2 linked regions of the Notamacropus eugenii genome follow. The protein of the gene in region 2 interacts with the protein of the main gene of each other region in a pairwise test. Links are inferred from orthologs where the notes say so. Each region holds a gene or a part of one and is shown on either strand. Other genes may lie near its edges.

Evidence for each region.
Region 1: the proteins of ABI3 (region 2) and EVL interact in binary tests that used the Homo sapiens proteins (3 or more experiments, as listed by UniProt). The link is inferred for Notamacropus eugenii from reciprocal best matches to the Homo sapiens genes ABI3 and EVL.

What each region holds. Positions count from the first base shown.
Region 1 is NC_092872.1:355,478,098-355,485,768, reverse strand, and holds the start of EVL (ena/VASP-like protein), read left to right. Parts: upstream 1-4,650; 5' UTR 4,651-4,911; coding exon 4,912-4,934; intron 4,935-7,671. UniProt on the Homo sapiens protein: Ena/VASP proteins are actin-associated proteins involved in a range of processes dependent on cytoskeleton remodeling and cell polarity such as axon guidance and lamellipodial and filopodial dynamics in migrating cells.
Region 2 is NC_092873.1:351,666,052-351,673,280, forward strand, and holds the start of ABI3 (ABI gene family member 3), read right to left. Parts: upstream 3,008-7,229; 5' UTR 2,651-3,007; coding exon 2,534-2,650; intron 2,043-2,533; exon of another isoform or gene 1,967-2,042; intron 1,204-1,966; exon of another isoform or gene 1,045-1,203; intron 954-1,044; exon of another isoform or gene 658-953; intron 579-657; exon of another isoform or gene 1-578. UniProt on the Homo sapiens protein: May inhibit tumor metastasis. In vitro, reduces cell motility.

The sequences.
Region 1 (7,671 bases), on a different chromosome or scaffold from region 2:
TAGTCTATATTCTATGCAACTTCAACACTCTGGGAGAGAACTTATTATTTTTAGACAATTCTACCCAGAAATGCTCATTTACAAGACTGATTCTCCAACCTAAGATGGATTTTGAAAAAAGAAAAGAAAAAGAAAAACTTCCTAACAAGTATAACTTTTCTAAAGTTGCATGAGAAAACGCGGGAGGTTTCCTTCACTTGAAGTCTTTGAGCAAAGGCTAGATGACAATTTATGAAATCAACTGTAAAAAGAATGGACTTGTTGGCCTCTCAAGTCCTTTCCAATCTGAGATTCCATGATTTTAAAAACTAGAATTCTATTCAGTAAATAGTTATTAAGTCCTTACTATGGACAAGCCCTGTGCTAAATATTAGACACATAAAGATAAAATAAGATGTAGTCTTTGCCCTTTAGAATTATTGTTGCTTGTCCTTTGTGCTCAAAGAGAACCAATGATGTCAGGAGGGTGATGTCTTGACTTAAAAGTGATTTCGATTTAAGTGAAGCAGGGCTGTGCAAAGTCACCAGCCTCACTTTCTCCTCTAGAAAGGCAAGACATAAATCAAGAAAACTGGTGATGGCCCATGCCCATTAGAAACTCCTAATTTAAAGTGGGGAGAGGAGATAAGCCATGCTTGCAAATAAGTATGATACAAGGTCAAGTATGATAAGCAGTAGGGCAGATATGCAGACATAATGCTCTTAAACAAATTGGGGGAGACAAAGATCCTTTTCAGCTGGAAGGATCAGGAAAGACTTCATGGATGAGGTGGCACCTTGTCAATACAGATACAGGAAAGTTTGTGATACCCAGACCCAGTAGATGGGAACAAGAAGCTCCCAAGAAGACAATAAAGCAAACATCTTTATTGAACAGACATGCTTACAAAATAAAGGATAGTCAGGGAGAATTATAGAAACAGGACAGATCTGGGCTCTTGGTTGGAATAGGGCACCCCACCTAGGGCACCCTCTTCCATAACAGTAAAGCCTGGTGAGTTTTGACCAGTTCTTAGGTAAGTCTAATAAAATAAACCAGAATAAACACTAGGGGAAGTGATTGAGAAGCCTGAACCTATGGACTGGTGCTAATTCAGATTGGGAGAAAGAGGAGGCAGAGGAGGGGGAGGCAAAGGGGTTTTGGGTTGTAACTATAGGTCTTATATTTACAGAGTAACTCAGCTTCTCTGACAGGGATTTCTGGGCTTCTTTGATTAGTTTCTCAGACAGGCTAATGTATTCCTTATACACTTCAACTTGAACTTAGACTTTAAGAATCATAGCATCTTCTAGTTCAAAGGAATCTTAAAGGTTATACAGCCCAGTGATGCCACACATCACCACCAAGTGTCCACTTGACCTCCTTTTAAACATCTCCTGTGATAAGGAACCTCTGCCTCTTGAGGAAGCTCATCACATTGTGGGGCAGCTAGAATTATTAGGCAGGTTTTTTGTTCTCCTCTTTATTTGAAATCTCCCTTCCTCCAATTTGCTGCTCATTGGTCCTAGTTCTGTAGCTAGGTGTTGCAGTGGATAGAGTGTTGGGCCTGAAGTCAGGAAGACATCTTCAGACGCTTATTAGCTGTGAGACCCTGGGCAAGTCACTTAACCCTGTTTGCCTCAGTTCCTCATTTGTAAAATGAGCTGGAGAAGGAAATGGCAAACCTCTCCAGTATCTTTGTCAAGAAAACCCCAAAGGAGGTCATGAAGAGTTGGACACGACTGAAAGCAACTGAACAACATTGGTTTTATGGAATAATACAGAATAAGTATAGGCCCTCTTCCCCATGATGACCCCTCTTATATTTGAAGACACGATCAAAATCATCACGGTTTTCTACATTTTTCACACAGATTGTTAGCTGTCTGAGCGAACTGCTACCTTTTAGACCTGGTTTTTATTTATATTTTACTTATTTCAGTCCTAGAAATTATTTGAAAAAAGAATGGGAGGAAATTTCAACTCTTCAGTATATATTTGTTTTCATGTGGTATCCCACATTAGATTGTAAGTTCCTTGAGGTCAAGAATTGTCTTTTGCTTCTTTTTGTATCCCTGGCACTTAGTACAGTACCTGGCACATAGTAGGCTCTTAATAAATTGATTAATTGGTGCTGAAAAATTGATTCTTCCCCTGTGTCTCCCAGATCAAATAGAATAGTACCCAGTTCTGTATTATGTTCAAACCACCTTGCCCCAGAGCCTTCCCATTCTATGATGCTTTTGCCCTCTCTCCTGGGCTTTTAGCCATAGATATCGATGTTGCCTCTGGTTCAGTCCCTGCTTGTTATTTCCATCATGTTTCTATAATGATTCATCTGACAACAGGTGGATTGGGGAAATGAATCTAATTATACCAGTTAGAGTTAAGTAGTAGTATCATGGAATGAAGTCTCCTCCACAGACTTCCTAAATATTCCAATTTTACAAAAGAGGAAACTGAGGCACAAAAAATTAAGTGCTGCACATCTCACATACTTCTATCACACCCTCCCAAATCTGCCAAAGGTCATAAAACTACCCAGAAAAAGAGGCGAGATAAAAACTTAATCTTTTGTCTTCTAGACTAGGTCATACAATCTAATGGAAGCAGATGTTATGGCTACCCCATTGGAGGTCAGACTTGGTCACCCCTCATCAAAGTATATTTTCCAGGAGGACATGGAAAACGCTGGTTGACAACTTGAGATTTGAAGTTCTTACTCTGACCCAAGTGGTGCTAGAGAAAGAGTGATGGATTTAAGGTTCAATGACCCAAGTTTGGATTCCACCTTGTGTCACTTTAGTACCTATGTGATCTTGGGCAAATTACCTGACTTCTCAGCACCTGAGAATTCACATCTGTAAAATGAGAGGAGAGACAAGGAGATCCCCAAGGGCCATTCTAACTCCAAATCAATGATTCTGTGATCTCCCCTAGTAGCAGCTTATCTGAGGTCATGCAGTGAGTTTGTGAGAGACTCCGGAATAGGGCGGAGTTGGGAGGAAAAGAAGGGTAGAGTAGCAAAACGAATGTTGGTTTAGGAGTCAAAAACTAGTGTCAGCTCTGCTTCTGACTAACTATGTCATTCCCCTCCCTTCCCCCCCCCCCCATTTTCCCACTAATTCTTGGCATTTGAATTTTCTCTTAGGATGTTACTGTGTTGTTCAGTTGTTTCCAACTCTTTATGACTCCATTTGGGGTTTCTTGGTAAAGATACTGGAGTGGTTTATCTACCATTCCCTTTTTCAATGGATCCATTTTGTAAGGCAATCAGAGATTAAGTGATTTGCCCAGGGTCACACATCGAGGCTGGATTTGAATTCAGGTCTTCCTAACTCCAGTTCTCTATCCACTGAGCTACCTACTTGCCTCTCCTAGGATATTAGACCTAGTGATTATACTAATGAAATTACCTGGCCAATCAGGAGGCTCGGAATAAAGTCTCAACTCAAGGCCATATGCTCTTGAAAAATTAGACTTTTTGTAAATATTCACATTTTAACAAATTTCCCAATCTTCTTTTACCCTGAAACAACATTCAGAGTGGCTTTTGGTTTTGTTTAGCGGTTGGACAGCAAGAAAGGTGTAAGAAACAAAACTCAAAATGACATTTAAAATTCTTTATGTGATTGCCAAGGGAAACTGCCTCCTAGTAGGCTATGTTTGCATTTGAAGAATTCAGGTACACTCCTGCTTTCCTCTAGCATCTGAGCCTAGGTTTTTGTTCTAAGTTTACTAAGTTTTTTCTTTCCTTTTTGGGGGGGTGGGGCTATCATCATCATCACTAGTAATGGTGAAATTTGGCTCTGGAGAATTTTCCATGACCTTATCCAATTATACCTACTTGATCATAGAAACATTGAGTGTCAGATCTGAGAGGAATCTTAAAATCACACAAACACACGTGTACACACAATCATTTCTCAACATGTGTGCTCTTATTCCTCCATGCCTTTTCTTGAACTTAAAAAGATGAGTAGGGATTCAGTGATGGAATGAGACGTAGCGAATATTCCGAGCAGAGAGCACAATTGAGCTGAAGGAGAGAGAGGTGAGGAAAGATTGGAAAGGGAAGGCCATTGAGTCCAAACCTCTCATTCTAAAGACGAGGAAACTGAGATTCAGAGAAGGCGCAGACTAGTGCAGACTCACAGCAAATTCAGCTCATTCACTTCTGAGGCAAAATTGGAACTCCCGCCATCCGGGTGGTGCCAGATTGCAAAGGATGCTGAGTCCTAGGGAAAGGGTCTTGAACTTGGGGGACAGGGGGTAGACAGTGAAGGTTTAAGAGCAGAGAAGGAACATGACCAGCTCTCTGCAGAAGCACCAGATTTCTGAGGATTTTTTCCAAGTCGGGCTGGATGTCCGTAGCCGCTCCTAGTGAAAACAGCCCCCACTACCATGGCTAGCCACACTACCCCAATAAGACCAGAAAGCTGCGGCTGGATTCCCCCAATTAGCCCAGCAGATGACAGTGACAAAGGCTGGCTTCTCCTTCTCTCTCTCTGGACTCCCCCAACCCCCACCTCCCTTGGAGATGCCAACCCTGGAGGGGGAGGTGTGGTGCTGAAACCCATCGATCTGCGATTGAGCGCGTGGCCCAGTCGGGTCCTGCCCAGAACCTGCCTGCCACCGCTGTGGAAGAAGGCAGCTCCCAGGGTGCTGCATTCATCAGAATTGCTGAGCTGATCACATGGTTTTCTTCCTGCCTTCCCCGTTAGCTGCTCCTTGTCAGCAGCTGGCGGAGCCCGAGGCCGCAGGCCAGTGTGTCTGCAGAAAACCTTTCCCGGCCCTACGTTGCAGAACGCCAGCCTCCTGCTCGCGCTCCCACACCCGCGCCGCCGCCAGCCCGCCTCGCTAACTAAATGGTTTTCCTCCGTGCCAGGGAGATTTCCGTGGATCCCAAGGAAGCTGCCTCTGACTAGGCCATGTTTGCATTTGAAGAATTCAGGTAGGCTCCCGCTTCCCTGCATCAGCCCGAGCCTGGCTTTTTGTTCTGAGCTTACTGGGTGTTTTGTCTTTCTGTCTGTCTTTTCTTTTCTTTTCTTTCTTTCTTCTTGTTTGCTGTGTAATGACACTCTGGGATCTGGCCGCTGCTGCTGCTTGCTAGCAGGGCTGACTTCGGTATTTGTTGGCGGGTTAGAGGGAGATTTGGTTTGGGGAGATTAGGGTTGGGGGGTGCGGGTGGAGATGGAAAGCCCGGGATCCAGGGAAAGGATGCTGAGTGAAGGCTGAAGTGATAGCCAGATAACTGATTTTTCCGTTGCACGAATTGATTAAGATCCACCTGGATGCCGGTGTAGGGCTCTGAATACCAAGCAGCCCAACATCGGTCCACCCTTTGTCAAACCCAGGAGAGAATGATGCTCCTTTCAAAAATAAATAAATAAAGTGGGGAGGTGGGGGATGAGAAGAATGTTAATGGTGGTAGCTGAAGCCGGAGAATTTTGGCAAGTCTGCAGAGCTGAGATTTGGCTTTGACTTCATCAGATGTTTGTTATTTTTAATAATAATCTCCTGGCTGGGGAGCTCTGGGTGAAGCCTGTTGGAAGGGTTTCCCTAAGCAGGCTTTCTCTTTGCTGTTTGTAAGCGGTTCAGCTGCTGCTGCAGTTCTTAATGTTCCAAATTAGCATCTTTTGTGAGGCTGACTTGCCCCCTCTTTCCTCAGAGAACCCATCTCTGAGTATCAGTGTGGGAAGGGTAGTTTGGGCGAAATGAAAATTAAGGAGGGTAGGGCTGAAAAGGCAAACAGATGGATTCTATGTTATGTGCCACCTCTTGTGAGCTTATGAAGGAGTGTGTTTGCTGGGATTCCTGACCTCTACTAGCCTCTGGTTTTCTGAGAATGATTTACTTTTTATTTTTATACTAAGCCAAACCATTAAAACAGCTGGAAAGACTAGTGACTCAGGATGTCAGAACTGGAAGAAAACTTGGAATCATAGAACATGGAATGTTGGAATAAGAAGGGACCTTGGAATCACAATATGAAATGTCAGAGCAAGAAAGGGACCTTAGAATCATAGACCATGGAATGACAGTGCAAGCAGGGACGATGGAACCATAGAAGAAAGGATGACCGAGATGGAAGGACCTTAGAGATTATCTGATCTATTACCTCATTTGACAGATGTGGAAACTGAGGTTCAATGAGTTTAAGTAATTTATCTAAGGGTGTACACCCAGGAAATGGCAAAGTTAAGATGAATCCAAGTCCCTTGTTTCCAATCTACAGGGTCTCCTTGACGGCTTTACAGCCATCATCACAAAACCCTTATCTGATTTCCCAAAATGCTACAACCCTATCCCCTTATTTAAAATAATCACAAAACAACCACCTTAGTAGATATAATAATTATAAGAGTGAGGGAGGGAATGAATGAAAGAGGGAGGAACCCTTTTCATACAGACAAGGAAAATGAGTTACAAGGTTGGGCTATAGATGTCTTTCCATAAACTTGGCTCTTAAGATTCAAGGATTTCAGTTTGTGTTGTGTTTAAGAGGCTTGCTCCTTAAAGTTAGAAATTGGAAAGGCTTATTCTTATGGGTAGAAAGAGGTCATAGATGGTGAGGAAACTCTGGTCTTATACTTCAAGGACTATTTTCTGTAAGCAATGGTAGAAATGAGGACTGGTGGCATTTCACACTTGCCAGCAGGTTTCTTTGGCCTGAGTGAAGGGGTGTTCCTGGAATCCGTTAGAATGCTGTGTAACTGCAGTTGCCAGAGCATTGTTAACCACAGTCCATTCAATGATAACAGGAACTCATTTGACAGATATTTATTAAAATACCTACTGTGTAATAGGCATTGTGCTAGGCACTTAGGGACACTTTTTTAGTCACTTTAGAACTTGAAAGAATCTTTTGAGATCATCTAGTTTAACTCCACCTAGTTCGAGTCTAACTTGTTGCCCAAGGTTACACAGATAATGACTATCAGGGACAGGAAATAGCGAATAAATGGTGGAGTGGAGATTCAAACCCAGATCCTTTGACTTTAAACCTAGAGTTTTTCCATTATACCATACTGGCTGGGGGATGGAGGAGGGTGGGAAGGGATGCATATAATGTAGTATTCAAACCTGTTTCCACTCTTAAAGGTCCTGGCAATAAAGTGGATTTAGTCCTAGTGCCCAGAACTGGGGAAATAGTTCTCTACACACTCTGCCCTGATCAGACTACACCTGGAGAATTGTGCTCGGTTCTAGGCAACCCATTTGAGAAACAATGTTGATTGGTTTGAGATTGGGAGGGCTACCAGTAAGAAGAAAGAGGCCAAAATCAATCTGAATGAATCTTAACTGAAGGAGCTAGCGTGCTTAGCCTTGAGAAGACAGAGGCAGGACAAAAGACATTGGTGTGAGAAGGGACTGTATTACTCTAATTGTTCAGAGGGTTTTTTTCCTCCCCCAACCCCCAATTCAAACCTAAATCTGCTATTTCCACCCACTGCTCCTGCTTTCTGGGGCCAACCAGAACAAGTCCCTCCTCCAAATGATAGTCCTTCAAACCCTCTGAACAATTAGAGGAATACAAATGTAGGATGGGCTGCTTCTCGAGATAGTGGGTTTCTCATCACTGCAAAAGCTCTTCAAGTGCTTGTCGGGGATTGTATAGAGAGGATTTGGGTGATGGATCATATTAGATGAACTCTGAGTTCTACTAAGCTCAAAGATTTTATGAGTCT
Region 2 (7,229 bases):
ATAAAAAGAGATTGTATATGTAAAGTATTCGGCAAACACTGTATCAGTGCTAGCTGTTATACTTATTCCTAATGTTTGCTTTTGGTGTTAAACATTTATTAAACACTAACTGTGTACAGAGCATTGTGTAATAAGTATAGAAATTTTAATTTCAGCTCTGATACTGAATACCTTGGGGAAGTCACTAAACTTTTCTGGGTCTTAGTTTCTTCTTGAAAACATAGGGTTTGGGGGCAGGTAGGTGGCACAGTGGATAGAGCACTGACCCTGGAATGAGGAGGACTTGAGTTCAAATTTGGCCTCAGACACTTAGTAGCTGTGTGATTCTGGGCAAGTCACATAACCCCAACTGCCTCCAAGGAAAAAGAAAACATAGGATTTGAAAGACAGGATCTACCAACACGAGTGTGGTGATAAATGATTAACAAACAGTGCTCTGGAAAGAAAAAAAAAAACATGTATCCAGGATATATTTATAAGTTAAAACTGCATTACTAACATTTTATCCATAATTTTCTTAAGTCTAGACAATCAACAAAACAATGAATGAAACCCCAATTTGTGGCATGATTTCTGAGGTAAATATTCTCAGGAGCTCAAGCTGACTCTGGCTTGAATTTACAGACAGTCTGTAAGATTTCTTCTAATCCTGATCAGGAAACAGCTGTTTGGGCTCAATCCTGGAAGGGTAAAGGCTGGACCCCATCCCTGAACCCTGACTCTGGCTTTAGCTGATGAGGAAGAATCCTCTGGAGTCAAGTGTGGGAAGAGGATGGGGCAAGAGGAATCAGGAAGACCCTTATCATGGAGTTTAAGATTCTTCCCCTCCAAAAGAAAAGTCACACTAATTTCTCCAGATCAGGAAAGTCAGTCAATCCTGAGAAATGAGCTACAGAACTGTGGTTAACCCTGCCATCTCCTCCTTGCTACTCTTGTGGTTTTCCTGACACCTGGTAAGACTGGGGAGAAGCATGCAGAGGACATGGGTGGGCCAGGGGCTCTTTAAATAACGGCCTTAACCAGCCACCCCTATCTTCCCCCCAGCTTGATGAAGCAGTCTGTAAGGATCCCAGACAATGCAAAGAAAACAACTAGAAACTAAAAACAACTTGGAAAGTCTAGTTACTTCACTGGATTGCAGAGCCCAGAGCCCTGGAGTCTCTAAGAACCCCAACTTTGGACTTGGATACCTTTGCTGACTGAGTGAGTTGCTTCCTTCCTCTTGACTTTAGTTTCTTAATCTGAAACATGCCTCCTCCTTCCTTTTCTCCTTCCCAGTAAGGCAAAAAAGAACCGCTCTGGAAAAATGAGATCTCCAGAAGGAAGGGATTCAGAAGCAGAAGGGACCATTATTCTCATGGGATACAGATGAGGAAATTGAAAATCAGACACAGGTCACCCATGTAACAGACACAAGATTTGAACCCAAGGTTTCCTGACTCCAAAGCCAAGGCTTTCTCCTCAGTTTGTTGAACTGCATGGACTTACCTCACATTACAGTAAGGGTGAAACTGTTCATTGATGGCCCCAAAACAGGTGCTATTTTGCATACCATGTGGCATCCCACTTGTATGATACAATGTCAGTATGAATAGAAATTCCATCATTCTATCTCTCCCATATGCATATACTCAACAGAGCCCTTGCTCTCCCCAATGTCCTTCCACTGGCTCTCCCTAAAAGATATCTTGTCCCTCTGCTGCACCCTCACCAAAGTGGCAAGCTTCTTTTGGCTTACAATTGGGAGAGGAACTGGGGAAAGAGATCCAGGGAAGGCAGATAGCTCTAGCCAAGTTCCTTATAGTAGCAGCCAGATGCTTGGATAACTTCCGAATGCAGAGAACTGTGAAAATCCCAGAATCTTTTCCCTTAATTGGCAGGTCCCTCCCAGAGATCATTTTGCAATTTCTTGCCTCTGAGTCCCACACTAACGCAATCTAACCTGTCTTCTCTTCTTTGTCTTAAGTTTTCCTAGGATTGACTCGACTTTCTTCAATTCATTGTCCCAGAGACTTCCTATGCCTACCAGAAAAAGTGAAAAGGTTTTGTTTGTTTGTTTGTTTTTCCTGAGGCCTTACCTCCAACCCTCTTCTTCTCTGGGTGGGTGGAGGTCAGGAGGTGAGAGAAAGTGTAAAATGGTGAGGACATAGTTTAAGATGGTATCACCTCTCAAAGGAAGAACTCAGGATGCACTTAGTTGGGCTCTGTGGCTATAGGGACCAAGCGTTGTGCTGGTAGAGATTGGGGAAGCGGAGGGCATGGAAATGGAGAATTTTTTAGATAGGGGTAATGATTTTGGCTGAGTCTCCCCCACCCTGGGTTCCACAGAAAGCAGGTTCAAATGGCCCAGCCCCTGGGACTGATGGGAGTTGGTGTTCAGTGTTAGAGACGGGAATCAGGATTATGGAAAGGCGCTCAGTATCAGGGATGGAAGAGCTCAGAGCCAGGGCTGGAGATTTGCCTGGGGAAGGCATCCAAATACTAGGGAGCCAGTGCAATCAATGGGAGGAAGGTTGGAGAGAGCCCTACTTACCTGAACATAGTTGCTTTCACAGTAGTCAGCAACTCTGAGGAGGCTGCTGTGGTTGCTTCGGAGGGCCTCCTGGCCCTCGGGGATTTCAAACTCCAGGAGCTGTTGCAGTTCAGTCATGGCCCCCCTGTTTGTGGCCACCCTGCTCTCATTTGGCGGCCACCCAGAGCTACCAACTGGTTTTGTGCTTTTCCTGGGCTCTGATTGGCTGCTCTACCTGCCCTCCCTCTTGCTGGCTTTCTCTTTTGGGGCCACAGAAACAAACCTGGCCAGAGGAGGGGAGGGAGGTTCATTCCCAGACAAGAGGAAGCCGATGTTTGCTCCCCTGGCCTTCTCTTGACTCCACTCAGCCCCTGGCCAGAAGGGAAGGGTGAGGCAGGGGCTTAATTGGGTGTCACTCCTCCCTCCCTCCTAAACTTACCCCCCTCTGAGGAAACCAAAGCTGAATCTGCTCCCAGGCCCCAGAGAGGAAGCCAGGGTGTGTGTGTATATGTGTGTGGGGAGGGGGGATAGGGAGGAGAGAGCTGGGAGGCTGAGGAGGAAGAGGCTGGTCCTACTGCTGGGGGAGGGGTGTGTGTGTGTGTGTGTGTGTGTGTGTGTGTGTGTGTGTGTGTGTGTGTGTGTGTGTGTGTGTGTTTTCCACTTAAGGGGGTGGGGAGATGGGAAGAGGGCAGAGGGTGGGGGCTTCCTTGGCAAGCTCAGAGATGAGTCACTGGGGGGGCTGGTAAGCTGGGAAGATTAGGACCTGGAGATAATAATAAATAATAATAGCTGGTATTCACTTAGTACTTAAAAGTTTGCAAAGGATTTTACATGTGTTATCTCATTTGATCTTCACAGTAGTTCTGTGAATTGAGTGCTATTAATATCCCTATTTTGTAGATGGGAAACTGCCTCAAGAGAGTTTAACTGACTTACCTAATGTCAAATAGCTAGTAAGTGTCTGAGGCAGGATTTGAACTTGGATCTCCCCAGCTCCAGGTCCAGCACATCATTATCTAGCTGTCCCTAGGATAAAAGCTAGGAGTCTGTAAGGGTGCGGGGCTGAAGGATGCTGTTTTTTTGTCTCCACTGAATGGAGATTCATGGAATGGAAATAGATAAGGGTATCAAAATTAAAGCCCAGGAATCCTCTAGGAGTTACATGAAGTCTCTGAAGCATTATTATTATGGAGGGTGGAGACCCACTTCTCTGTGCCCAATAAAGGATCATAGGATCACAGATTTCCAGCTAGAAGAAACCTTAGTGGTTCTGTTCAACTCCCTCATTTTACAGTTAAAGAAACTGAGGCACTGAGAATTTAAGTGACATGTCCAAGTAGGATGAGGTAGGGTAGCATTTGAACCCAGGTCTTCTGTCTGACTTTGAGTCCGTTGCTCTCTGCTGGGCCAAGAGAAAACATACTCATGGTGCTTGGAGGTTACATATTCTAATTCTAGCAGAAACTTGCCATTTCAGGGAGGCAGTGTGGTAAAGAGGAAGGAACCCTGGGCCAGATGTTAAAAGCTCTGGATTCTAATGCTGGCTCTGCCTAATATTAACCTGTGTGACCTTGAGTACCGGGCCTAGGAGTCAGGAAAACTCAGCTTTGTGAGTTCAAATCTAGCCTCAGACACTTCCTAGTTGTGTGACCTTGGGCAAATCACTTAACTCTGTTTGCCTCAGTTTCCTCATCTGTAAAATGAGCTAGAGAAATGGTAAACCTCTCCGGTACTTTTGCCAAGAGAACCCCAAATGGGGTCACAAAGAGTCAGACACAAGAGAAAAAAAATGACTGAACTCACTTTGGGTAAGTCTTCCTCTTTCTAGGCATGTTTCTTCATTGGTAAAATAAGAGGATGGGACGGGAATTCCTTTAGTGTTCCTTCCAACCTTAACGTTCTATGCATGTGAGCGGACAGTAGACCCTAAAACCCTGTGCTCGGCACAGCTGCCAAAATTATCTTCCTAGGGCACAAATATTACAATGTTACCAGCTCACAACTTCAGTAGTCCCCTTTGCTTCTAGAATACAAAGAAAGCTCCTCCCCCTGACATTCAAGGTTTTCTAAAGTCTTTTTAATCTCTTTCACTTTCTTTATGTTCCAGTCAAAGAGAATGACTTTAGCTGTTTGCCGAAACTTGACATTACACCTTCTACCTCCATGACTTTGTCCAGGCATTTCTCCATGCCTGGAACGAATTTGTTTTCTCATCTCCTCCTTTCCAAATTCTTCTCTTATTTCAAAACTCTTCACAATACCTTCTTCCAAGAAGCCTTCTCAGATCCTCTCCAGGTAAAAGTCTTCTCTCCTCAGTGTTCTAGAGTACTTTGTCTGGATCTTTCCTTGGTCCATATAAGGCCCTATCTTGTATTTCAGTCATGTACATGTAGCTCCTCTGCTCTGCCCACCCCCAGAAGCATGTAAGTAGCACGTAAGCTCCTTGAAGTCAGGAACTATGTTATTATCATCAGCACCATGCTAAGTACTGAATTTTGATTTGCTGTCTTCCCAACAGCAGGAAAGAAGCTAAGCTTCCTCACCATTTCCATTCCTCCTTAACTCCAGAGCGAATCGAGATTGGTTTTGCCACCCAGATAAAAAGCAAAGGGATGGACAAGGTGACCCCTCAAGGACCCTCGCACATTTTTAGATTGCCTTCCTCTACTTTTGGAGTCTAACCCTGGATGAAGTGAGCATGAAGGCAGAGAACTCTGAGAACCCTTGGGAGTAGACTCAAAGGAAAATAAATATATGGTCCCTGACCCCAGAATTATGAACATACACCCAGGACAGAGAAAGAGGCAGAGAGAAATAGAACTAGGGAAACAAAGAAATGAAATGCAAACTGGAGAAAAAAGCTAAGATGACCCTAAAGAGGAGTGATTGTAGTTAGGTGGGAGTAATCATGGAAGATTTCGAGGAGGAAGAGAATGTACCAAATGGAGACTGATGAGATGAGATCATCTGTGGAGTGTATAAATGCTAGCTATTATTAGTTATTATTTAAAGCAGGGCTAGAAAGAGCAGGACAGAAGTGGGGGAAAAGGGAATGGCTTTCTCTGTCTCTCCTTTTGCCCTCAGTTCAGGAAAAAGCTTGTTTGAAGGCTCAGGATTAAGAAAGCTAAGGGGTTGGAAGGATATTAGTGCAGGTTAGCTAGATGCGCAGAGAATTCAGAGGTGAGCTGAGGAGAGGGGGGAAGAGTTCAAAAGAACAAGATGAGAGGAAAAATTGGAGAATCTGAGCTGGAATAAGAGTTAATGCAACCAGAACCCTGGAGGAATCAGAATTAGGAGGAGGAGGCAGCTAGGTGCTGCAGTGGACAGAGCACTGGACCTAGAGTCAGGAATTTTGTTATTTGCTTGTTTCAGTCATGTCTGACTTCATGACCCCATTTGAGGGTTTTCTTGTCAAAGATAGCTGGAGTGGGTTGTCCATTTCTCTGTCCAGTTGATTTTAAGATGCAGAAAAAAGAGTAAAAAGGGATTAAAGATTTGCCAAAGGTTAGCACAGCTAAGTAAGTAGTATGAGGACAGAATTCGAAACTCAGGTTTTTCTTGACTCTTGGCTGGGACAGCTGGTGATGAGCTGTCCTGAAGTCAAGAATACCTGAGTTTGAATTCAGTCTCATATACTTATTAGCTGTGTAACCATGGACAAATCACTTAATCTTTTTTTTTTTTTTTGCCTTAATCCACTGGAAGAGAAAATGGCAAACCACTCCAGTATCTTTGCCAAGAAAACCTCAAATGGATCGTAAGAGTTGAACACAACTGAACAACGACAAAGTGATGGGTAGGACTAGGAAGCAGGAAGATCACTTAGGTTGTTTCTAAAGTCACTTGGATATCCAAAGTTACAGGATCCTACAGTTAGGACATTAGAGACTAAAGGCCAATATATATCTGACTAAGAATGCCCCTTACAATGACCCTTAAAGTGGTTATCAAACCTTCCTCCCGAAGACCCTGATCACAGGGAATCTACTACCCCTTGAGGCATCACATTCCACTTCTGAGTGTCTCTAAGTATTAGGAGCTTTTTTCTTATATGAAGTTCAAATTGACCTTTTCGAACCTTCCACCCTGGTCCAGCAGACCAAGTCTGATGCAGCCCTTTAAATACTCGAAGGCACCAATCATGTGTTAGCAGTCTTTTCTTCTGTAGACTAAGCATCCTCAGTGACTCATTTGGAGATGATCAGTGTGCTAGTTTGGGACAGGTATCAATTCCTTTCCATTCCCAGTGGGGGCTCAGGTCTCTTAATAGGCTTATTACTTCAAGTCTATTAATCAGCTTAAGGATCAGAGGTTTGTGCCTTAAGACCATCTGCTGCTTTGACAGAGAAATCTTCAGTGGAAAAGAAGAGGATCAGGCAATATTGTGTCCAGGACTGAGACAGATGCCTCTTGAAAATTTCAGGACAGCACCCCACCACCACCACTACACATAGGCACATACACAGGTAAGGACTAGGGTGGACTTGCTTGGGGGCTACATTTGCATAGTATGAGTTAGGCAGTTGGCTATAAATTCCTAGGAGTCTCCCTATAAATCATTTTCAAGGGCTTGTGGAACACGAAATACACTTATTGGGGTTAATTAGCCCATGATTGTCACCCACATTTTTCAAGATGGGGGGAAAAGCCTCAAACCAAAATTGACCTTTTCTCCTTCCTCCACCTCTTTCACATGTGTGACTGGGAGAATTCCCTT